Linked DNA regions of Struthio camelus. The protein of the gene in region 3 interacts with the protein of the main gene of each other region in a pairwise test. Links are inferred from orthologs where the notes say so. Each region holds a gene or a part of one and is shown on either strand. Other genes may lie near its edges.

Region 1 (7,776 bases), on a different chromosome or scaffold from region 3:
TTAAAAAAATAAAAAAAGTCTAATTTACTGCATCATGCCATGCAATAAATTAAATCATATGATTAAACACTAGAAGCTAAATGATACAGAACATCTTTTTTTAATTAAAAAAATAGAAGTAGTTTGTTTCTGAAACATTTTTAAACGTATTAAAAAGAATACAACTCAAAAGGCTTCTCACACATGCAGAACTACGGCAACTGGAGCAAGCGCAGATGTTTAAATACTTAGCACAGGTTAGAATTTGAAGTATTCTCGATCCGATCCAATCCAATGTGTGTATAAAAATAATCCAAGATAGAAAAAGACCTACCTATCCATATAAAGATTTGATAGGTTTACGGACTGCTGCATTTGAACCACTATTAAAAAACAAACAAACAAACAAACATGGTTTTCTCCTGTTAAATAGAGCTGAGCTTACAAGTTCTAGACCTGGCCATTTAATCACAGCTCACACAGAACCTCTGTTCCCATGTCCCACGTTCCAGCTGATGAAAGACAGCAGCTTCCAATCTAGCTTTAAATAAAATCAAAAACCCTTTAAGAAAGTTTCAAACAAGTATTTTGGAGGACTTAATTTTCTATGCAATTTAGACATACTGCAGCAATCTCAATATGATGAAAAAAGTTATACTTTTAAACTAGATTTTGCACACAAGTTCTTAAAAAAAAAAAAAATTAATCAAGTCCAACATTACCTCTCTGTTTCAACACTTTTTTCTCCTTTTAACTTCAGGTGCAAATCAAAAGTCAACCATGGAATCCAGAAATGGAAGAGATCTACTACATCACACTCAGCGTGCTCCTCTGCCAGCAGACTAGCGCTCCCTGAAGAGCATCCTCTGCTGCTTTGTCTGGCCCAAACTCAACACTAGTGGGGATCCTACCACTTCCTTTCGGGAGCCTATTTCAGAGGCTGCTGCAATTTATAGTAGCAAATCCATGCTGATATCCAATGTACTGTTATTTCTTCATGCATCATCTCTATGTCTCACTGCTCAAGAATCAAAATCCAAGATACTTGTAAACATCTTAGCATAGCTCTACTAGAAGATAAGTTAAGTATCTATAGTATTGAAAAAAGTGGCATCAGCAGTCTGCTTTCTGCAGCCTGGATGCCCTTAAAGACGGTGACCTTTAAAAGGCAAACGTTGCACCACGTACCTATATAACTTACTGGACTTCTACTTCACCATTTTTAATTTGCTCTCCCATCTAGAGACCGTACAACTACTGTCCCAGGAATTCTGAAAAGGTATTCTAAAATCTGCACCCAGCAGCGTACACAGGCCAGATTACTGAATCAGGAAACCAGATCAAGCGCCTCTTCTCAACACTGGGGCCTGAGCATGTTCGTGCTGAGCCTCGTGCTGAGCTGAGCTGATCTACCAAACTGTGGCCACTGACAGGACCTAGCCTAGCTCTCCAGGTGCACCTCCTCATCCCTCCTTTGCGTCCGTCCTTTGCTCCCTTTGTGGACCAATTCCTCTCTGGGGAAAGGAGGAGGCATAGCTAGGGAAAACAGCAATCGCTCTTTCAGCAGTACAGAAGGTAAACCGGTTCAACTCCCTCGCTTAACCAAGACATTTTTTCTTCCATAGTTTTATGCCAGTTTACTCTGCTGAAGCAGCTCACTGAAAGTCAGATGAGTGCCAGCACTGGCCCAGGGGAAACAGAGAAAGTAAGAGAAACTGTCCCTTTTGGTAGCATCAAGCTGTTGTATCAGCTCAGCCATCCAGTCACTCGGCGGGATGTTGAGACATATCAAACCTTCCTAACTCTGTTATCCTCAGTTTGCAGATAATCTATTCTTATCTTTTAAGGCACTTAGAGATCTAGTGATGAAAAGCACAAAGAACTTGATAAGTACTTGCGTGTGCTCGTACTATAAACTTTGCAAGAGAAGGGCTGACTGTTATAAACATATTAGAGTTAATGAGACTTAATAACAGAAGAAACTGTTTTGAAGGCCTCAGTCTTTAAAAGGCCGAAGTTTTAAAGGTTATCTAAAATGGACAAAAGTAACTTTCATATGATTTTATATTGGAAAAGGTCACTTCTTTTTCAAGTGTTCAGCTTAGTGATGCACAGCTGTACTGAAAACATTTTTATTTTCCTCTACCGCCATGCCTGTCTTTTAACCAATAGCAGAGTAGCTCACCATTTCCATGTCGAAAGTCATGTTTCTAGGGCCTTTGGTGATAAACAGTATCAATGTAAACATGAATTATTTTTGAGAAAGCAAGTTTGCTTTCAATACTGCAAGAATGTTTTTGGTGCACACAGAAGCAGAAAGAAAAGGCAATTTAAATACAGTAGAAGTCAGATTCCTAGATCATTCCCAGAGTACTTTTCTCCAAACATTAGGACACCAAACAAACAGCTGATTGAATCTAAAGAACTCTCTTAGTCTGGCAAGTAGATACATAACGTAACCTCTTTCAGACAAACTCTACATACGCTATCATGTTTAGATAGCAATGGAGAGAATCCCTCTGACTTGCTCCTCAAAAATATATAGATATATAGATCTATTTCTTTACATATATTTTACATATATATACACGTATATCTTGCTACTATCTCTAAATAAGTCTGTTCCACAGACACCTCTAACTGTAACTGAATCATATTATACACCGGAACATTTTTCATGAACTCTGTCCTTTAAGATCCTAAACATTATGCTGAAGCTACTCACTATCAAAAGTGACTGAAAGGGTTTTCACAAGCAGAAACAAGTTGAAAGCTGTTAGTGACGAGTATTTTTCAAATCAAACGTCTCCACATACTACGTTTGAAACCAGTTTCTTACAGTCAGCATCCATCTCTCACACCTCTCGTTCAGCACGCTGCAACAGTATGAACGGCATCGCATAATAACGGTCACTGCTTGTCACAGACTTCTTGCCTTTGACCAGGATACAAAGACACGTACCGCACAATTTCCTGCAAACAGCCCAGCAGAGTGTCCGGATAGGTGCATGCTGAAGCAGTCACCAGTGTTCACATAAAAGGTAAAATAGACACGTTTGGTCATTTTCCAAGACAAATGCAGGAGTTTGTGTCAGAGCAAGAATACATATTCATGACTCCCTTAATCTTAATTCTGTGCTCAAAACTCTAATAGCATCATGGCTGCTTTTCACCTAGATAAGTGTTGAATTTTAATAATACTAAATATCAGAATAGTAAAAGAAAAGAATACTAAAAAACTTCTAAAATGAGGTTCCATTTATTTATTTTGCTCATTAGCCAAAGATAAAGGCAATTGTTACGGCTTTCTTTGCTATGAATGTTCTCTTCCATAGCAAGAGCATCTAAGAAAAGTGAATTAGAAGGACAGAAGTTAAAAACCCAAGTCCAGCTATTAAACCTGTTTTCTGTAACAGTGGGTATCCCAACCGGGCTTTCACTTAGGAAAAAAGCAAAAAATCAAGCCCCAGATGTTATAATTATGCCCAGCTCTATCATTCAGGTTTTGGCATCTTTATCTAGTACTTCTCCTTCTCTTCCAACAACAATTTTCTTGCCTTAAATTTGGAATGAATACATTAATTTTTACTGCCTGCCCCACTTGCTGACTGCTGCAGTTCATACTGTCTAGTCTGTATTGCCATGTTGTTTTTTAAGTATGTATGTTCCATAACTTGGAGCTTAAACATATCTGACAGCACAGAAAGTAGGAGGAAACGTGAAATATATCCACCAACTCATCTCCTACACCTCTACAGAGAGCGTACACACCTTCAGAGGTGGAGGTCAATTTGTTAATAACTATCCCGATTTTACAGCTAAGAAGGCAGAAAATGCATAAAGTCAGCTATGTCTGCTCCTATCCCCACTTCAAAAAATTGCTCATTGAACAAATAATTATTAACAGATCATTCAGCACGCAAAAAAAAACTTTTCAAAGCCATTTAAAGGGACCTTCAGACAAACAGCTAGGTCTGAATAAAGCCAGAAAACATGCTGTGAGATAAATCTCCGGGTTTCCCACTATTTTCTGTGGCACAGCCTCCATTACTAGGAGCAAAGAAAAGAGTCAATACAGGCTCAATAATATCAATATACGCATAAGTATTACATATTGACATTAAAACTTTTGGGCAGGATCATAAGAGGCAGGTATTACAAAATATGTCCGGTTCCCAGCATGGGTTTAAAGTGTGACTTACTCAATTTCACCTGTTTTTCTCTTAACAAAATACATACTAAGTAATTTAAAGATATATATTAAAACTCATATTCAAATTATGTGCCCCTCCTCTCTCATAAAGCACACATTTGTCAAGAAACAGAATTCCAGAGGCAGCAGGGAAACAAAATAAACAAAAGTGCTTTGTACGCGCGGAAAATGTTCATTCTGTTCTGACAAGTTCCTCTTGGGGTGGTAACCGTCACTCACATCCAGTCTAGAAATCTCGCTTCCCACAGAAGACGCTCGCTCCTTTTCCACCATAACAGAAGTTCCTCTCCTCCCAACCCCCATTTTTATGCGTCTAAGTCATAAAGCCATAGGAAACGGGGCAGCAACGTTCACATCTCAGACAAGTTCCTCTTTTTTTTTTTTTTTCCTCCTTTTTTCTGTTGCTGCTTAAAAGAATATGACTGTCACAGAGAATGTCGACAGGAAAAAAGTAACAGCGGAAAGAGTTTTGACTCAATGTCAAGAGATGTATCAAAACATGAAAACAGTATAAATGCCGCAAGTTAAACAGTTGCTTACAATGATTCACAATAATGAATTTTTAAAGGAGACATAGAAATGACAGCAAGTCATTCACAATGTGTCAGGAACTTGCATCACTGGACTTCTAATTGTTACAATATTTCCCATCAAATTACTTGTAGCGCAATGATGCCATAGGCAATTATCATTGGCAGAAATATTTTGCGTGTGTGAACAGACAAACAGATGGAGCTCCAAAGTCCACCATTATTCTCAACAAGTATCTATCGCACTCTGGAGTGAATAACATGTTGAAGAAAATGGTATTTTGCAGTTCAACTCAAACAGCATATACTCTCTCTAGAAGGCAATGCTGTAATCCCTGAAGCACTGGTTTTATTTCAGACTTCCTATTTTTTAAAGATAACAAAAAATAAAGCGTTCTGAGAATATGTATGCTCCTCTCCCGTAAAGTGCTCAGGAGGACATCAGGAGCTGGCAGACAAAAGAGATGAAAAATACGAAGCACCTAAAGAAAAGTTCTCAAATTGCAGTCTAGGGACTCCCAAAGAATTGTAAAGTTCTTTTCATGAGCTGCAAGAACACAAGAGCACAAAGAATCTCATAGAAAAGATAAGGAAAAAAAAAACGTATAAAAAGGACATAATGGGCCTTTTTCATATGGCAGTGTCACTTAGAGTGGCATGCAAACGGAACTTGTATGGGAACCACTAAGCTAAGGCATGAGTGTTTGGCAGCACTACTGTTTCTAAGGTTAGAAAAAAAGAAGGAAAAAGAAAAAAGTGTCATCACACATACACCACACAAAACTATGCAAGTATTCCTATTTTACAGTATTTTAACTTTGCTAAAATCTTAAAACAACGCTATATAACAACACCTCTCTGGAAAGCAACCGAGTAAGATCCAAATTTGTCCTAGTTTTGACGACATCTCCGTTTATTTCTCACTTTTGCCCAGGCACGTGCTAGCTAGCCGCAGAGCGAGCGAGCGCGCCGGCACCCCGCGCAGAGGAGCGGCCACGAGGCGCCGCGGGGCCCGGAGCCCCCGGGGCGGCGCGCTGCGGCTCGGGCCGGGACCCGCGCGCCTCGCCTCGCCTTCCGCCTCCCGCCGCCGGGCCGGGCAGCGCCCGCCCGCCCGCCCGCCCGCGCCGGGCCGGGCCGGGCCGGGCCGGGCCGGGCCGGGCCGGGCCGGGCCGGCGGCAGCCAGGTGCGCTGCGCGCGCCCGCCCGCGCGGCGCCCCGGCCCGCCCGGGCGGCCCGGCCGCGGCTGCCGCCTCCCCGCGCCGGCGGGCAGCTCCCGGCCGGCAGCCGCGGCGGGCACACCCCCGGCCCGGCGGCCCGGCCCGGCCCGGCCCGCGGCCCTCCCGCCGAGGCGGGCTGTGCTGCGGCGCGGGCGGCCCCTTACCTGCGGAGCGCCCGTGGCCGTGCGGGCGCGGCCCCTCGGGGCGGGCAGCGCGGACGCCCGAGCCGGCGGCGGCCCCACAGCCCCGCACCGAGCGAGCGGCGCCGCGTCCCGGACACAACTTCGCCGCGCGCTCCCGCCTCCCGCGCGCCCGCGCCGGCCCGGCCCGGCCCGGCCCCGCGCCCAGCCCGCCGCGCGGCCCCGCCGCCCCCCCACTCACCCGGCCCGGCCGCGCTGGGGGAGGGGGCGGCGGCGCGCGCGGGCACGCGCGCTCGCGGCTGCCACGCAGGCCGGGCGGCTCGGGGGCGCGCGGCGGGACGGCCCCGGGGCGGCGCCGGGCGCTGCCGCTGCCGCCGCCGCCGCCGCCGCTGCCCGCGGCGCCCGGGCCTCCCCCGCGCCCGGCGGCCGCGCCGCAGGCCCCGGCCCCGGCTCCGGCCCCTGCGCGGCCGCGGCGGCACCAAAGCGCCTGAAGTCCGCCCAAAAGCCAGCTCGGTTCCCGGGCGCCGACCCCGGCGGCACGGAGAGCGTTTACCTGCGCCGATTTTACTTCCGTTTTAACTTGTGGGTTTTTCCATGTCCTGAGATGAGTCACAGCAAAAGCAAAACTAGCCTAGGGAAAACAGAATTAGCAGAGCCCTCCCACCAGCGCGCCGGCTCGCGGCCTTTACTCCCCCGGAAAATTACCGCTGCCAGGGCCTCGCATGTCAGAAGTGCCCACGTCCTTCCCCGAAAACTGCGCAGTGCTCATTTGCAAACTTCCCCATTTTTAATTTCAGCCTCTGGTTTCTCACTCATGATCCCAGGGATTAGTTCCTTCCCCGCTGCGGGGCTAATACAAACTGAGTGGCGACAGTGACAGAATTAGAAATTTGTTGCAACAATGGCAAAATTATACAGCTAAGACTTTCCTTCGCAGTATTCTCATTTGTCTTTCGCTGATCCTCTTACGTAACGTTAATTATGGGGACATGTAATTAGGTGCTCTGCTCCTGCAAAGACATGTGCTAAACATCACCAACAGAAGGAGTAGCCGTAATGATCGTAAGAGCAGTAGTCACATGTCTAAAGCAAAGTGCATGACTTTTTTTGCAGGAATCGGGGTCTAAACGGGTCTAGGTCTAAAATATATGATCTTAGGAATTCAGTAGAACCTTTTTTTTAATCAAATGGAAATTTTTTCTTCCTTTTTAAATTCACGAATTGCAGTGCTTTGTAGATGAAGACAAAAGCATTAGTAACCTTAGTATACTTAAGTCTAAATTCAACAGTATTTTTTACAAGTGAAGAAAAACTCGAAACTGAACTTAACAATAAATAAAAGTGAAACTAACAGCTCTCATTTAATTGTCTAAACTGGGTGAAAGGCATACAGTAACAGAGAGCATATCTGGTGAGAAATATTTCTGATTGCTCATATTTTGTCAATTTTTGTAATCCAAGGCCTAGCTACAGCAGAAGAAGTTTGCTGGCATGACAGTAAACCAGCCTAGCACCGAGGTCCTATCACAGCAGGAAACTGCTAGTGCCAGCTTGTAACTGATACCAATACCAGTTCAGCACATGAAATAAGCTACGCAAGCACGAGCACTTTTCGCTAGTATAACTTCGTTTCTGCTAGGACTGTTGCCAGTTAAGAAAAAATACAATTAAAAAAAAATCCTCTAACCAACCCTGTTC
Region 2 (7,614 bases), on a different chromosome or scaffold from region 3:
TTGCAAACTTTCAGTATTCTTAATAATTAAGTCTTCTATCTGGGAAGGGACTTCAAGACCTTGGCTTACCTTGCTTGGTTTCTGGTGTAGTTATGCCATGCATCCTTGTGGTGCATATGTATGTCATGCAAGCAAAAAGAAAAGTTTTGTTTGGTGGTGGTGTTTTTTTTGCTAATACAGTGTATGCTAGTTCCTTGAACAAAAAAAAAAAAACTGCAGAAGACTTTTTACTAGTATAGCTGTATTTGATTTGAATAAAAATCACATGTGGTAATCTATATGATTTTGCCAACAATGCTTTTCATTGTCAGCTGGGTCTCGCAGGCAGCTAGTAGTAGTATATTGCTACTAATCATGATGGCATGGCCAATACATTTATTTTGGTAGCAATGACTTTTTTTCCTCAATACCCTGTTGTATTTCCTAGGTGTTAGCTTGACATTATTTTTAATAACCTTTTTTTTGGAAACTACAGTTCTTAAGTTTCATCAGAAAAAACAAGTAACTTTCATAATTGAAACTGATATTCACAATTATTTGGCAAAGAGTAGATATCTATATCTGATAAGCACTCAGGAGTCCTTCCTTGTTATATGGTGCAAGTCCACTCTCTTCCTGACCTAAGAGGTTCCTAAACTGCTGATTGATTGAGGACTGTTAGAGTCTATCAAGAGAAGAAACCCGCTTAACGAGTATTACCTTATATTCTTTTCTTAAGCATCCATAAACAATTGTAAGATCAAAAACATATTTATTTATATTAATATATAATTTTGTATAATACATATACCGAGCCTTTTATATCATTACACTTTAAAAATATTCAAAAAAATCTTCACTCTTGTTATGTCTTTTTTTATTTTGTGTTCAGTTTTATTTGCATGTTAGATATGGAATACATAGTGAAATATGTATTTGTGATAAGAAATTTTTGCACAAGTTAGAAAAATACTTCCCCTATATTATAAGCCTGTGTATAATGTTTTTTTTCTCTCTCTATCCACTTCATAAGCTGGTATATCTTTTTAATAAAAGTATATAGAATTGGGAAAAGCATATAGAATTGGGAAATGTAACCCAAAATTTTATGTAGATCATGGGTACATTAAATCATCAGTACCTGTGTTATTTATGTTGGTGTAATTTTATGTAGGCAAAGGTAATAAGAGGAGAAAATGGTATAAAATCAACTTTTGCAAAATCTAGACATTCTCTAAAAGCTTGTTCCTCTACAAGTGTTAAATTAAAAATACTAAATCCCATTTCATGATGTTACAGGTCTAGAAACAAAGATATCATAGTGGTGGTGTGGGGGAGCTCAGTTCTTCCTCCAGTTGCCTACTTTGTAAGAAAGGGCCTTTTAAATTGGTTCTTTTTATAAACTAGTACCATATTGCTTCCGGCTTTAAAAATATTTTGTATCTTAAATTTGAGTTTGTAAGTACTCCACAGACTCAACTAGAGAACTTGTTGCTTTGCAACACCAGAAAGGTCTGTATCATATGTCATGGATAATAAAAACGGCATTCATTTCTGACCTCTGTTTTTTTCATAAACTGCCCAGCTTGGAATAAAATGCAGCAAGTGTAATTTTGAAACTTTACCTTGCTCATATTCCGTGGGGTGAGAGGAGTATTATAAAACGATGGATTTGGAATCTGAGAAGTTAGTTCCTGTAGTAGCTGGTAAATGAAGCAGATGGTATAAAACAAATACACGCTGTTCTGTGGCTATAGAAATAAGGTGTGTTTCCTAGTTATTGTACAGACGTATGTGATAATAAATATGATTTCACTTCACAAATTAAATTAACTTTTTTCTCCCGTTTCCCTTATTAGCCGTTACGTATGATGAGCACTTCACTGCTTCATAGACACCAAAAGCAGGGAGAATGGAACCAAGAGGAGGCAGAGAGATGAGGGAAAGAAATACTCAAAGTTCAAGCAGGAACGAGAAGGGGAACGATAGGGAGAACCAAGAGAAGAAAAAGTAGGGAAAAGAAGATTTGGAGGAGAAATACAACATCAAAATTGGAAGGAGAAAGAAGAAGACAGGAGAAAAGGGAGGAAGGAAGTAAGAATAATAGTGGATATCCTTACAGGATCCAACTTTTTTTTGAGTGATGCAAAATATAACTATTTACTAAACTATCAGTGATAGGATGTATTCTGTTTCTGATAGTTTTATGACAGCATAAGTTGGAGAGGAGGGTTCAAGAAGCATACATATTCTTCACTTTAGTTTATGGCACTGTCAGTAAAGTCTGTGTCCTATTCCTTAAGAAATGAAGAGGAAACACTTTGAAAAAAAAAAATTGAGGAGATTATTCTACATAATCCTAGCAGTAAAAAGGAAAGGAGTCTCTGTGTCTGGCTGCTTAGATGCAGCAGTGACTGCAGTCCTCTGATGTCCTAAGATTTGTGGGGACATTCCACGCATCTTGCAGCGTTCATGGACGCCAGACACTGAGTTTCTACACTGATGTCTTGGTGCTCAGGAGATTCTTGGCCCAGAGCAGTACTTAGTCTGTAATCATGTAAGTACCAAGCAGTATTAATTGCCTGGATGCCGCCTTCAAGAGTGGCTTATGGGATAGACTCATTCCCTGGACGAAGTGCGTTGTGAAAACCAATGTTGATGAAGTTGGTATTTGCTAACATGCAGGAATTTTGTGATGCCAGAAGTTGTCTGTCACTTCCCCCATAACTTTCTGTGCTCCTGGGTATGTTTGATTGGGATCGTCTGGTTTTGCTTTACTGTGGGCCTGAAATTTGAGCCTGGAAGCTGACTGCATGTAAGGTCTGGATGGCATCAAGCTGTACATGCATTACAGATCAGTTTGTTACTGGTGCAGTGGTTGAATATCAAACTCCCATTCAGTAGCCAAAAGAAAAGGGGGGGGAAAAAAACCCTCCATGATGGATCCAGAATTAAGCCTAAGATGTTAGCACTGGAACATAACAAGCAAAAAAGATAGTGGTGGATTTTCATGGTCGTGGTCTGCCAAAACGTATAGCTTTCTGAACCCGCTGTTGAACAAGAGAAGGAAAGCCACTCTTTTCTGCCCCTGGCTTGTGAGCGCATGGAACGTCCGACTCTGTGGCACAGAACTTCAGTTGCCAGTAACTGTAATAGACATTTCTTGCATTTCTGTTTGCGTCATATATATGGAAGAAGGAAAGGAGAAATGGCAGAATATAGATGGTGCTTTACCACTGGCTCAGAAAAAGCACCTGTGAGGCAGGAGATTGTGGTGTTTGCCAACTTGTGATTCAGGAAAGAAGTTAAATTCAAGAGGATGTTATGGTGCTCACGCTTGCAGGTGCAGCATACTGTGTGTCTGATGCATACACCCTTTCAGCTCTTTAAGAAGTAACAGTGACTGTTACAGATACCTGAATCAGTACCAGCTTTACATGACAGTTTATAAGAATTCTTTTCTGATATGTACAGCTTTAAATTTCTGACGTGCCAGATGCTATTGCTCTGAAAAAGTTGCTGTCTGTGGATGATGTTCTGTAGTCTTGTCTGCTTGCTGTACTTGTGGTTATATTCCTTTTAAACTTTTATTTCCTCTATGGAATTATTGGATAGCTTCTCTCTGTGGCTATATCAAAAAAATCTTTCTTCATCTCCTTTGTTAGAGGGTCAATAAGAGAGTGCCAGTCTTCCAGGAATTTTGTTTTTGTGAATTGTCTCTTTCTGTACATACTCTAGTTTGAAATATGTATTACTCTGACATCATATTTTGTATGTTTAATTTGTAGAAACATAGCATCATAGGAAACATGATTTGAATCAGTGCCATTACTGAAATAGAATCATAGTTAAGCAAAACTGCTTAGTCCTGTTGCTCCTAAATCATAAATGTTGGGGTTTCACCTTATTTTGCCAAGGAAAGCGCCTGCAGTCAGGCTGATTGTCTACATCTCCCTGCCAATCTCAGAGTAACCCTTTACCTTGTTGGCCCATTTATCCTGTAGACATCAGGTGCTTGTTAAATTTGGCTATTGAGTTTCTACAGCTTTGTTTTAAACAAAAACCAAAAACCCAACACCTGACTGAATAAAGGACAGCGAAGCCTTTTAGTTTCAGCAGAGAAGTCTGCTGTTGCATGTGTTGGACAGCTGCTGTTTGGCGGGAGCAAGGAGACTCATCACATCCCGCTGCCCTGAGCTGGAGGGTCGGGGGAGATGATGCTGGTGTTGCTGAAAGCAGCGAGGACCCTGCGCTGTCTTCCCCCCCCCCCCCCCTTACTGCAGCGGGGGTGCTGAGCGGGAGATCTTGCATAAAAACTGTACTTGCAGGCAGTAGCTTCAAGGCTTCTTGTCAGGTGAAGAAACCTCCCCAAAATGTTTGGGTCTCTTTTTGCCGTGTAGCTAGCTTTAGACATGGCTTAAAACCGAGAGAGAAAACAGTTTCTTCCTGCGCTGCTTTTGCTTTGCCGGTTGCTTTTCCCGACTGTGCAGCGGAGCCCCCTGGCGCGGGGGGAGAAGGCTGCCAAGCGCCGGGGCCGGCTGCCCTGCGCGGCCGGGCTCAGCCAGCGGGGCCCCGCCCACGCCCCGGTACCGCCGCTCCAGCGCCGGAGGCGGCCCCCAGGCCCCCTCCCCGGTTCGGCCGTGCCCCCTTCTCCGCCCCCGCCGCTGGGGATGTCGCTTCCCCCCGCACGGCGCCGGGCAGCCAGGCCCGGGCCGTGACTCAGCACCGGTGCTCTTGGGTGCGGCCTCGGCCTCGGGCGGCGCTGAGTGGCAGGCACGGGGGAGCCGCCGAGAGAGGGGACGGGAGCGGGAGCGGATTTATTTGAGAGGTAAGAGGGAGCGAAATGGAGAGGGAACAGAGGAGGGATTCAGCGCTCGAGTCGGGAGCTGAAGCCCCTTCCTTCCTTCCTTCCTTCCTTCCTTCCGGTATCGTGCAGCTGCTGCTGGGAAACTCACCGGCCGGGGGCTGAGGGGCTTGCTTTGGGGCTGAGGGCCGGGCCCCAGCACTCCTCAGGGCCCCGTGGTTTTGCTTTAGTTTTAAACCTTGAAGCTGGGCAGCACCCCAATCAATAACAAGTTAAAGGGAAAAAAAATAATAATTTGATAATCCTCAGTTCTCATTTTATGTGACTTTCCTTCCTGGAGGAATTGGATATTTTGCAAAACACAAATTGGAGACACTGATCCATCATTTTTTTGTGTGTTGACAGTCTGCCTGCTGATCTCCTGGTAGCTGTGTCTGTAAATAAATGAGTGAGCCCTGACAAACTTGGGGAGCAGGGAGGTCCTGCCCCTGCATTAGCACTGGGTGGTTAGCATTTGTCTTTTTTTACAAACTAGTTTTACTGGAAAAGGGAGTGTTTGCTGTTTTTCCTCCTCTGCTTTTAGGAGCCTTTCACCGCAATGTTTTAAAACCTGCCTGTGAAACGCATGAAGTCATAGACTGTTCCAGAAACCCAGTAACAGTAAGGTGAACACTGGATCAGGCTGTAAGTCCGCGGAACCTCCTCTCACAGTAGAGCTAGGAATCAGCAACAGTCCGGTCTGCTCTCAGTACAGGGGGGGAAGGAAGAGAGGTCATGGCTAGTAAACACAGCGCAGATTGGGTGGCCTTGAGGTTATTTGGAACTCAAGCAGGAAGGGTTTTGATGGAAAAGCTTTCCAAAGGTGACTGGAATGCACATTTTAAAACTATTTTAAAGATAGATGAAGGAATTGGTGCTGGATCTTCTTTCGGTTTGATTTCTGGTGAAATGAGTACTTACGCTTGACCTACGCACAGCTTTTCCCTGTTCCTCTAAAGCTATGATTTTTAAACTAGTTTAGTTGAAGTCATTGTCTCCAAACTCTGAATAGACACAAATGCAGTTTGAATCTGGTGTATATAGGCTTGTTAGACAGGAATCAACTTAAGCTAAATTATTCTGCTAAATTTAGTTGACTAAAGCATCTAGATAGGGTTTGAAACTAGTTTAGCTAAATTGATTTAAAGCCTGATTTAATGTGAAGTGATACGATTTCTCTGCGTAGATAGATGACTGAGATCTGAGCCTTTTTGATAGCAGCGTGTTTCTTCAGTGAATAAGGTGTCACAATACGCAGGATTTCATTTGAGGAGAGAAACAATGTGAGTTACGGAATTAGTAAGCTATGGGAGAGTAAGCTTGAATACAGGCAAAAACAATACGACCTTTTTTTCTTGCACAGTCTCTGACTTGTGACACAGGGCCAATACAGAATTCAGGATTCCTGGGTTCTGTCAAACCTGTTGTTGAAATATGAAATGGTGCTTGTATCCTTCACTGGGTTTCAGGAGTTGGGATAATATTTCTTATGTGCCCTTGAACACAAAACTGCCACAGTGTCTTCCTTGTGCTCCCCACATGCTATGATAACCTTTGTGGTTTATCTGCTGACCAGTCTTCCCACATGCTTCAAAGGCTTTGGATTCAGAGTTTCTGTCCATACCCCTACTTCTCTGGGTTTTTTTTTCTGCTGCTCCTTCATGCAGAGAGCTTTGCTACTTCCAGCTGCACTTAATGGAGGGTTAAGGACCTCCCTGACTCTTTGGGCAGAGAACTTCAGAAGCACTTTCTTACCAATCAAAACAAGTTTCCCTATGTAACCTCACTCCAGCAGAAAAGACCTGCCTAAGCTACCTGGAGGAAGTTGGTTTAGCAGAAGCGTGATTAGTTTCTGTTACGCTTCAATAACGTTGAGTTGCTTGTACAGAGTCCTTTTAGATTGATTTCTTATCACGTTTTATTAGACACTCTCATAAGGGAGGTCTTAGGCTTTTCTTGTGCGAAATGCAAGACGCAATCTGGTGGCAGGGTATGACTGTGAGTGGATGGTTATTTACAGTTTCAGCTTGGATATCAGACTTGAAACAGAGGAGCGCCTGCCTGCTGCAGCCAAAAATCAGCAGAGTCCTCAGACTGCAGATCAAGGAACATGTGTGATTTTACCACTGCCCCCTCTCCACTAAGAGCTATAATAGAGTTACTGCAGGGACTCTTTGCAGCCACAGACAATGTAGAGGAACAAAGCTGCAGTTGTGAGGCAGAAGGTAGTTGGGAACTCCTTCCTCTGAACATGAAAGTTGATGGAAGGATATAGAGGAATTTAGGTTGGAAGAAGGAACCTCTTGAGGTCATCTAACTCCGCTTTCTGCTCAAAGCAGGGCTAACTTCAAGGGTAGACTGGGTTGTTCAGAGCTTCTGCCAAATCTACTCTCTGATGCATTTGTTTGCTTGGAGAAGGAAGTACATTTCAAATGGATTCAAAAAGAAATTGCTCTTCTGCAGAGTATTCAGGGCTTCCAAATAGGTGTTGGATGAAATCCTTATTTCAAGGATTCTTGTACTGAAGACTACAGTGTTACAATGTTTGCTTTCTGCTTTCAGGCAGAGAGCATCCCCAGCAACATGGGGGATGATATCAGCTTGAAATTCCGTCAGCAGCTTCTACTCATTGAAGAAAACCTGGGTACCGAAGATGTAGCAGCTTTAAAATTTCTCTGCATTGACCTGATCCCCTTCAAAAAATTGGAAAGTGTGCAGTCAGCACTGGACATCTTTCAGTTTCTTATGGCTGAAGAGTATCTGAGTGAGGAGGATACTTTCCTACTAGCTGA
Region 3 (8,018 bases):
ATATTACCCAGCAAGCACATGGAATTAGCAAAAAATTAGTGTTAATGTCAGTTTAGTTTTATGGAAGTATATTTATTCTTGATTTTTCTAAATAAATACTGCAGACACCAGTTATGAGAGCTGCAAATGTACAAAAGCAGAATGTATCTGAACAGCTCATTTCCTGTGTATTATCCTACTGTATATATGCATGTGACCAGGCACAACTTTACTACCTGGTCTGAGGGGTAAACATCAGCTGACCGCGTTACTTTTCTTGTGTAGACATGCAAGAGTGGCTATTTGGACTAAAATGTCCTTTAATACTTAGATTTTATATTATGTATCTTTAAGAATTATCTTACTCTAAATTCCTAAAATGTATGCTGTTTCTTGAAATCTGTCATTTTTGGTGATTGTTTCTTTTGTGGGGACATTTCCTAAGCTCTCACATAGAAGAAAAATGGTACAAAGAAGGCATGTTTCCACATATTCCAAACAATTTCCATTTGGTCAGTGCTGTTTAGACAAGTAACAATCGTAAACATTAGCTAGTACCGGCTGTTTCTGTTAAGCTAAGTAATTGAAAGGAGAAATGTTCTCAGGTAAGTGATTGCCAGATAAATCTTATAACTTTTGTTTTTTTCATAGCTAAACAAAGTATTACTTCATCATCCTAACGTATAAAATAAATTCTACATTTCTAGAATTCAGATTAAGGTAATTGGTTGTGGAGAAACATGCTGTTTGAGAAAAGTTGGTTTGTTTTCAGCACACAGAAAGCAGGAATGTTTCAGTGAGCACTGTTTATTGTTTGTCTTTCTTACCCAATTCCAAATGTAGGCAAGAGTCAGCCACAGATTTAGGTTCAGGTTCCAAACCCTGTTGGCCTGGAAGCATTCTGGTCAAGGATTTGGAACAGCATCATTCTTCTTCTTAACTTTTTGATTCTGTTTATGTTGATGCACCTGCTGATGAAGAATGGAAAGCAGAAATACAAATTAAGCTCTCGTCTACACAGTTCGCTTGCACAGTTCCCAGTCTCACCAATAGTCAATTGAAGTGGAGGTCTGCAAGTCAGTTACTGATGTGAGTTATTTGAAGGATGGAGACACGAGCTGTTTTGAGGCACTATGCTCCAAGCCTGTGCTGCAACCATTAAGAGCAATAATGATTCCCCTTTGCCTGCCTTCAAGAATGGAGGCACAATGGAAAAATGATGAATGCTATTAAGAAGCTTTTTTTTTCTTTTCTGGTGCCTACACCTTCCTAGCAAGTGCTATATCAAAGTATGTGTGAAAATATGAACAAAACTAGGAATTTTGCATGTTTTATAAGGTGAGCAGTGACAGGTTCACTGGCAGTGCAATTTAGAGACTTGCAGCATTACCTGAGTTCACTAATGCAGAAAGGTAGAGTACAACTTGTAAAGCAGGTATTCCTGAACTTGCTCACAGCTCATGCAATGAGTCAGAATAGTTGGATAGTCTTCAGGACAGGCCTCCATCATTATGGCTTTTGGGTTACATACATCCCACAATAAATTGTATTTGACTTAACTGCACTTTGCTGACAAAATTCATTTGCTGACTTCAGCACATAACTAGTCTGCAGTTGTGTGTATGAAGGGTCCGGCAGAGCAGCTCTGTGGCAGTGGCCATTTGGTGGTAGGAGAGCCAGGCAGCATTTGCTGGTGTCTAAGCATCTGCAAGGAAGCGGTCGCTTACAGTTTGTGCTTTTGCCCATCTCTTGTCTGGGATGTGTCCAGAGAAAACTCCAGATGACTGTAGCATCTTCTCAGGGTTGGCTGGGTATTGATGATACAGGAAGGATAGGGAGGCAAAGTCTGCAAACAACAGACTGCTTATCAGTGGATGGGCAGTAACTGCAGCTTGCGGTAGCTGACTGGGTTGACTGTTACTGAAGTTCACAGGCACTTACCCAGTGACACGTACGAGGAAGTAAAAGTTGGGACACAGTTACCTCATGCCATTTTATTGTGGGAGGTAAGAGTACTAGTGCATCAAGAGAATATGAAGGTTTGAAGGTAAATCCTAAAGCTGATAAGACATTATCAGCATGGTCCACACACTCACTTGGGTTGTGTACCCCAGATATCAAGTATGTTAACAGGGAAGTGTGTCTGTGACTAATGATAATCATGTAAGAGAAAACCTGAATTCCTAAGCTTGGGGTTTGCAGACCATCAGGCACTCAAATAAGCTACTTCTGAAACTGTCAACCGTGATCCCTCATTCTTGGTCCCAAACTAGAAAGTACTCTGGTAGCACTTTGTCCATTGTTTTTCTGTTCTGCTTTTTCTTCTTCTTCCGGTATTTTGATTCCAACTAGAGTTCAAAGTCTATATATATATATATATATATATATATATGTATGTATGTATGTATAAAATACACCTGCCTTTGATATGCGACTATCTCTTTTAACCTTCTACCTATGAGGCAAAGGATTTGTGAATTACAGGAAAGTTTGCCTGCTAAGATCTGGACAACCCTCTTGAGTTTCCCCCACATAAAACAATTTTTGGACATCATCAACAAGACATGTGGGAAGAATGAATGACCACAGTGATCAAATAAAAGGGAGATGCTTGTCAACCATAGCGTTCCTCTTCTTTCTGTTGTCCCATTCAAACTCATCTGGAAGAGAGAGTCAGATTTGATTTTCTGTGGAACAGCATAAAAATGCAAAGCTTTTGTGTTCCCATCAAACCACTGCATCTCTTCCTCCTGGGGCAGCAGAAACATTGAATGCATGGGTAAAACAGACAATTTTTTATTGTCATACTCATGAGAAAATGTTTCATGTCATGCCACCGTTCTGTCATTTGGACCTTTCCTTTCTCCATCGTTCTTTTACTGTTTCTCTCATGCTTGTCTCCATTTTTTTGTTTGATTGATTTTCTTTCTCTACTACATCTCTGAAATTCTAGCTCTGCATTGCACAGCTTTTTTCACTCTGTTCATTAACCTGATGGTAATGGACCAATTAATGTTAGCATTTTAGGGTCATCACAATCACAATGGGCTTTACAATGCCTATGTCAATGGGATTAGTAGGGAATAAGAAGTTGCATTAATTTCTTGGCGAATACGTCAACAAACAGAGATTCCCATATGAACCTCCATGACTCATGACCCATTATTGATCAAAAGCTTCATGTCAATGAACTGTTTGCTAAGTCTAATTTATATTTATCTGACTCGAAAAGCTTCAAGCTAATTAAAATCTGTAACATGATTGTGTTAAAAACAATATTTCAAAGAGGTTAGTGTCTGGTATTATTTGATTTTTCAGTTTTCAATAATTTGTTGTGTTTTAAAATCATAGAATAGCTCAGGTTGGAGGAGACCTTAGAAGATCATCTAATCTAGCCTTCCGCAGGGTCAGCCATGAGATCAGATCGGTCTTTATCCAGTCTGGTCATGAAAGCTTTCAAGGATGGAGACTGTTCGACTGTCCTCATGGTGAAAATCTTTTCCTTATACCCAGTAGGAACCTGTGGTTTCAAGTTATGTCCATTGGCTCTTATCCTTCCACCATGCAGTGCTGCGAAGAGCCTGGCTCTGCTTCCTTGGCAACCTCCTTACAGGTATTGGAAGGCTGCTTTTAGATCCCCTCAAAGCCATCTCTTCTCCAGGCCAAGTGCCATTCCCTTGGCCACCCCCAACCATCCTGCTGGTCCAGGAGCGCTGACCTCAGTCCAGTTGATCGACACCTTCCTTGTACTTGGGGCCCCAACACTGGATGCAGTCTTCTAGATGTGGTCTAATGAGTGCTGAGTGAAGGGGGGTGATCACTTCTCTCGATCAGTAGGTGCTCTGCTCCTGTTTGTACAGCCCAGGGTGCTGCTGGCCTTCTTTGCTGCCAGGGGATGCTGCTGGCTCATGTCCACTGCTGTCTACCAAGATCCCGGGTCCTTTTCAGCAGAGTTGCTCTCCAGGCAGTCAGTCCCCAGTGTGTATTGTTGCAAGGGGTTGTTCCTTTCCAGGTGCGGGAGTTTGCATTTGTACAGGTAAATGTGGAAGAATGTTGAGGAGATAGGCAATGGAAGCCAGCCAGACCGTTCCATGGGAAAAGGAGTTTCTTCAGGGCATGCTGACCCATAGTCAGGCAGCTGAGCCCATGCCAGTGTGGCGCTACACCTAGGCTTTGAATTGAGATTTGCGATGAGCTCACTATGCTTATTGTGCATGTATGTAGTCCATAAAAACTCATGTAGTGCCCCCCCGGGGTTCCTTGCCTTGGACCGACACTCGGCGGTGCCAAGGACTCTCCTGCTCCATTAATGCCTTGATCAGGAAATTGTTGGGGAACCTCTGCTTAGGTGTAGAGGTAATAAACACTCAGTATTGGCCATAGTGTTCTTGAGTTTGTGTATCTGTCCCTGCTGAGAGCCCAGGCATTGCCCCCACCTTAACAGCGTTTGTCCTTGTTGAATTTCATAAAGTTGTGTAACATTTCATTAAAATTCTCCACATTGTTCCAAAATAATTTATTTAAGGATTTATAATAGTAATTTTAAAAGGAATTTTAATGTATTTTTTACTAGTAATGTTAGTTAAAGATACATCAAATTAGTCTAGAAATGTTATCAACTTCCTCTCTCCCCAGAGGATATTGGGTCATCTTTACATGAAATGATCTGTAGCATTCCCAACAGCCATAGTTGTCCACATTACAAAATGTTCATGTTCATGAGGAACAAATAACAAGCAGAAATCAAAATCCAAAGAATCTTTTTAGTTAGGGCTTCAAATCTTTTTCAATTAGCATAAAATCCCCCCAAAAACACCTATTGGACTTCCCTTAGGGTCAAGCACATGCAGTGGTGCTCCTTTTCCTCTTTCTGTATCTAAGCATTACTCCTTCATTAAGCAAACATACCTCTTCAAATAAGATCCAGCCAAAACCACCATTTGCAGATCCACCTTGAGATTCCTCATTTGCCTTGCAGGTACCTTTTTTAAATGGGATTTTCAATGAAGAACATCAATTTAAACAAGAGGATGAATAACATCAACCTTAATGCAATAATACCTAATGTAAGTTACTTCCCTGATACGGAGTAAATGAGCCAGTAATATCCCATTGTGATGTGCAAAACTGGGTTTGGGAGAACAGTATGTAAGGTATCACCATTTATGCTACATAGCATCCAATTTTCAACCTAACTTGCTTGTTTTGTCACTTATCCATGGCATAAATTGCATATGGGCTAAAAAAAAAAAAAAACCTATATGGTCAGCATGCAGGTACCTAGGGCAGCCATACATGGCCACACCGTAAGAAGATTTTCTTTATCTCACTAAAAGTTATTTTCATATCTGTAAAATTTCAATTCTTTTTTTCTCAATTCATCTCAGAGTAAAATACAAGAGTAAGACAAAGATAAATAAACTAATCTAAGGACAACTGGAATTACTCTCTAGTCAAAAAACCATGCAAAAAAGCCCAATGAGACTACCGCTATAGAAAGTCAGTAAATTGTACTGTAGGCCAAAGCTAACATTTTACAATTTCATCTACAGTGAAAAGTACCTTAATACTATTAGTTCTAATGTTGTTAGGTTGCCAAAGGCATTACTAGTTTTGGCCTACAGTGCAGTTGACTAATTTGAAATTTTACTTCAAACTAAAATTTAAGTTGGTTAAACTTACCAGAAAACAACTAGCTTTCATAGAAAATAAACATTTTAGGAGCATTACTGTCTTTATTGTGGAATTTTTTTTTTCCATTATGATTTCTTATCTTCCAATTCTTCTAGTTACTCATGTTACAGTTTTTCTTTTTTTTTTTAGGCTTTGATTTAGAGATCAAAACCTGTAAATGGGCCACAGTAAAAGCACCTTGTGACCTCTAAAACAATCTGTTTTGTTCAGAAAAGTATGAAAACCTCAGCAAAGCAGTGACATTTGTGAAAATCATTGCTGATAAAACTATTACCAATGAGGCATGACAAGGATATTTATAAGACTAAATATTCATGTTCACATTGCAATATTAAGGTACTAATATCTTACTGTGTCATAATATATCAAAGATCATGAAATAACCTTACTTTGGACTGATGTGAGGTGAGTTTCGATTGATGTGAATTTCTACTACTGAAATAGAACTGTTTAGCAGATAGGTGACTGTGTATGATTATCATACCAGAATTTTTTAGGTAACCAAGTTATGTCTGGCTTGCGCAAATAGTGCCTGCAATGCTTGAGCCTTTTACTCTTGTTTGATTTATTTTAAGGAAGTACAGAGTACAAATGAAAAATAAAAATGGTATGTGCATACATTATAGAAGAGAGAGAGATTTAAACTATTTAAGAGGTGTGCTTTATAAATTTTCACACAATTGTGTGTCTAAAGCAATCTTTTTCCTAGAATATTTCTTGGGGTCATTTCTATTTATATTAAAGAAATCCCTGAAATACTTATATTTTATAGTATTTCCCAGAACAGTGACCTGCGTTTTCAGTACAGGTGGTTTTCTTGTTTAAAAATCACTCCATTTCTTGTTTTTACTCTATACAGATGACTCTGAAGATTTCAAATTAAGAAAAGTGCCAAAGCCCTTAGAAGAAGCCAAAAGATTAAAATTAGGGGACTGTAAAAATTATTTATTCTCATCAGGGACTGTGTGCCATGGTAACCTCACTGGATGACAAAAATATAGAGTCAGGTCTAATGATGCAATTATTTTCAAGAACCACTGTAAATTTTATTTTTGCAGAACAAGAAATGTTAGAACTACAAGACTTCAGTTATATTGTAAGCTAAATAGATTACTTTGCCTAAAATTATGCAAACTTTGCACATCTTTGCAGTATCAAACTACAAAAAGTTTATAGGACTGCGATCAAATTTTTGTCTTAATAGAGAAATGTTAACTAGAATCTATCAGCAGTAATATCTTACGTGATTGTTTTTATGAGTACAGCCTCAGACCTTTTGAACCATTTTTTCCTTTAGTCCAGGGAAGTCTTTTTCTTTTTCTTTTTTTTCTTTTTCTTTCTTCCTTTCTTTCTTCCTTCCTTCTCTTCCTTCTGTTCTTCCTTTCTTTCCCTTCCTTCCTTTCCTTCCATTTCTTCCTTCTTTCCTTTCTTTCCTTTTCTTCTCTTTCTTTTTTCTTTCCCTCTTTCTTTCTTTTTCTCTTTGTTTCTTTCTTTCTTATAGGCTCAGAATTACCATTAGGCTACTATCAGTAAATGTAATATTTTAGTTTTGGGGTTATTCTTTTTCTGGACCAGAAGTCTTATCAAAGCAAATTTTATACTGTTACTGATTACTGAATACTCATTATGATTTTTTCTAACTAACCAAAAGGATTCTGCTAAGATTTCATTACTTATAATAACGGAAGTTACTGTTGTTACTTGTAGTAACTGGAAGCTTCAAGCAAAATTGGGGTCTCTCAGTTAATGCTGGACAACATGAAGTGAGAAACAATCCCTATCCAAAAGGGCTTTCGGTCTAAGCCCTGGAATCGCGAGGCATTCTTGCATGTTATGTAATTAGATTCATTGCCTCTGAATTTTTCCCAGTCGCTCTGCCCTAAATCTTCAGAGGCATAAGATACAAAAGTTAAAATTAAGTCTCTACTGAGTGTATGCACGATGGGAAAGCACCAAAGTGTGAGAACATTTCTCAAATTAGTTGGCTTTTGTTGAGGATAGCAGAAAGTATGTCTCCTACATAAAGCCAACTATTTTGGCTACATTAAATTTGCTGCATCAACCATGAGGGCAATCGAGTTTCTGAAAAAAAAAAGTTAATGGAATGTTTTAATATTGCAAAACAACAGTCTTAGTCTTGGAAATGATTAAATGATTTTGGTTACAACTACTGAAGAAAATAGCCTGAGGCATCTATCTGACTTGGGAAATTCTGGTCCGGATATATGAAATTTGACAGGTTTAATAGCTACAGAAAAAGCAGTCTGGAAAAGACAAGTCTTTGGCAAACTTAATAGGTAGCACTACCTGTGCTTTCATATTACCTATGTTTCAATATTCATGAT

The links.
Region 1: the proteins of XIAP (region 3) and NEK6 interact in binary tests that used the Homo sapiens proteins (3 or more experiments, as listed by UniProt). The two-hybrid records come from large-scale screens. The link is inferred for Struthio camelus from reciprocal best matches to the Homo sapiens genes XIAP and NEK6.
Region 2: the proteins of XIAP (region 3) and CASP10 interact in binary tests that used the Homo sapiens proteins (3 or more experiments, as listed by UniProt). The two-hybrid records come from large-scale screens. The link is inferred for Struthio camelus from reciprocal best matches to the Homo sapiens genes XIAP and CASP10.

Annotation. Positions count from the first base shown.
Region 1 is NC_090961.1:1,652,638-1,660,413, forward strand, and holds the start of NEK6 (serine/threonine-protein kinase Nek6), read right to left. Parts: upstream 3,059-7,776; 5' UTR 3,044-3,058; coding exon 2,942-3,043; intron 1-2,941. UniProt on the Homo sapiens protein: Protein kinase which plays an important role in mitotic cell cycle progression. Required for chromosome segregation at metaphase-anaphase transition, robust mitotic spindle formation and cytokinesis.
Region 2 is NC_090947.1:10,378,854-10,386,467, reverse strand, and holds the start of CASP10 (caspase-10), read left to right. Parts: upstream 1-4,556; 5' UTR 4,557-4,807; intron 4,808-5,364; exon of another isoform or gene 5,365-5,467; intron 5,468-7,384; 5' UTR 7,385-7,405; coding exon 7,406-7,614. UniProt on the Homo sapiens protein: Involved in the activation cascade of caspases responsible for apoptosis execution. Recruited to both Fas- and TNFR-1 receptors in a FADD dependent manner. May participate in the granzyme B apoptotic pathways.
Region 3 is NC_090952.1:11,059,552-11,067,569, reverse strand, and holds the start of XIAP (E3 ubiquitin-protein ligase XIAP), read left to right. Parts: upstream 1-4,994; 5' UTR 4,995-5,009; coding exon 5,010-5,045; intron 5,046-8,018.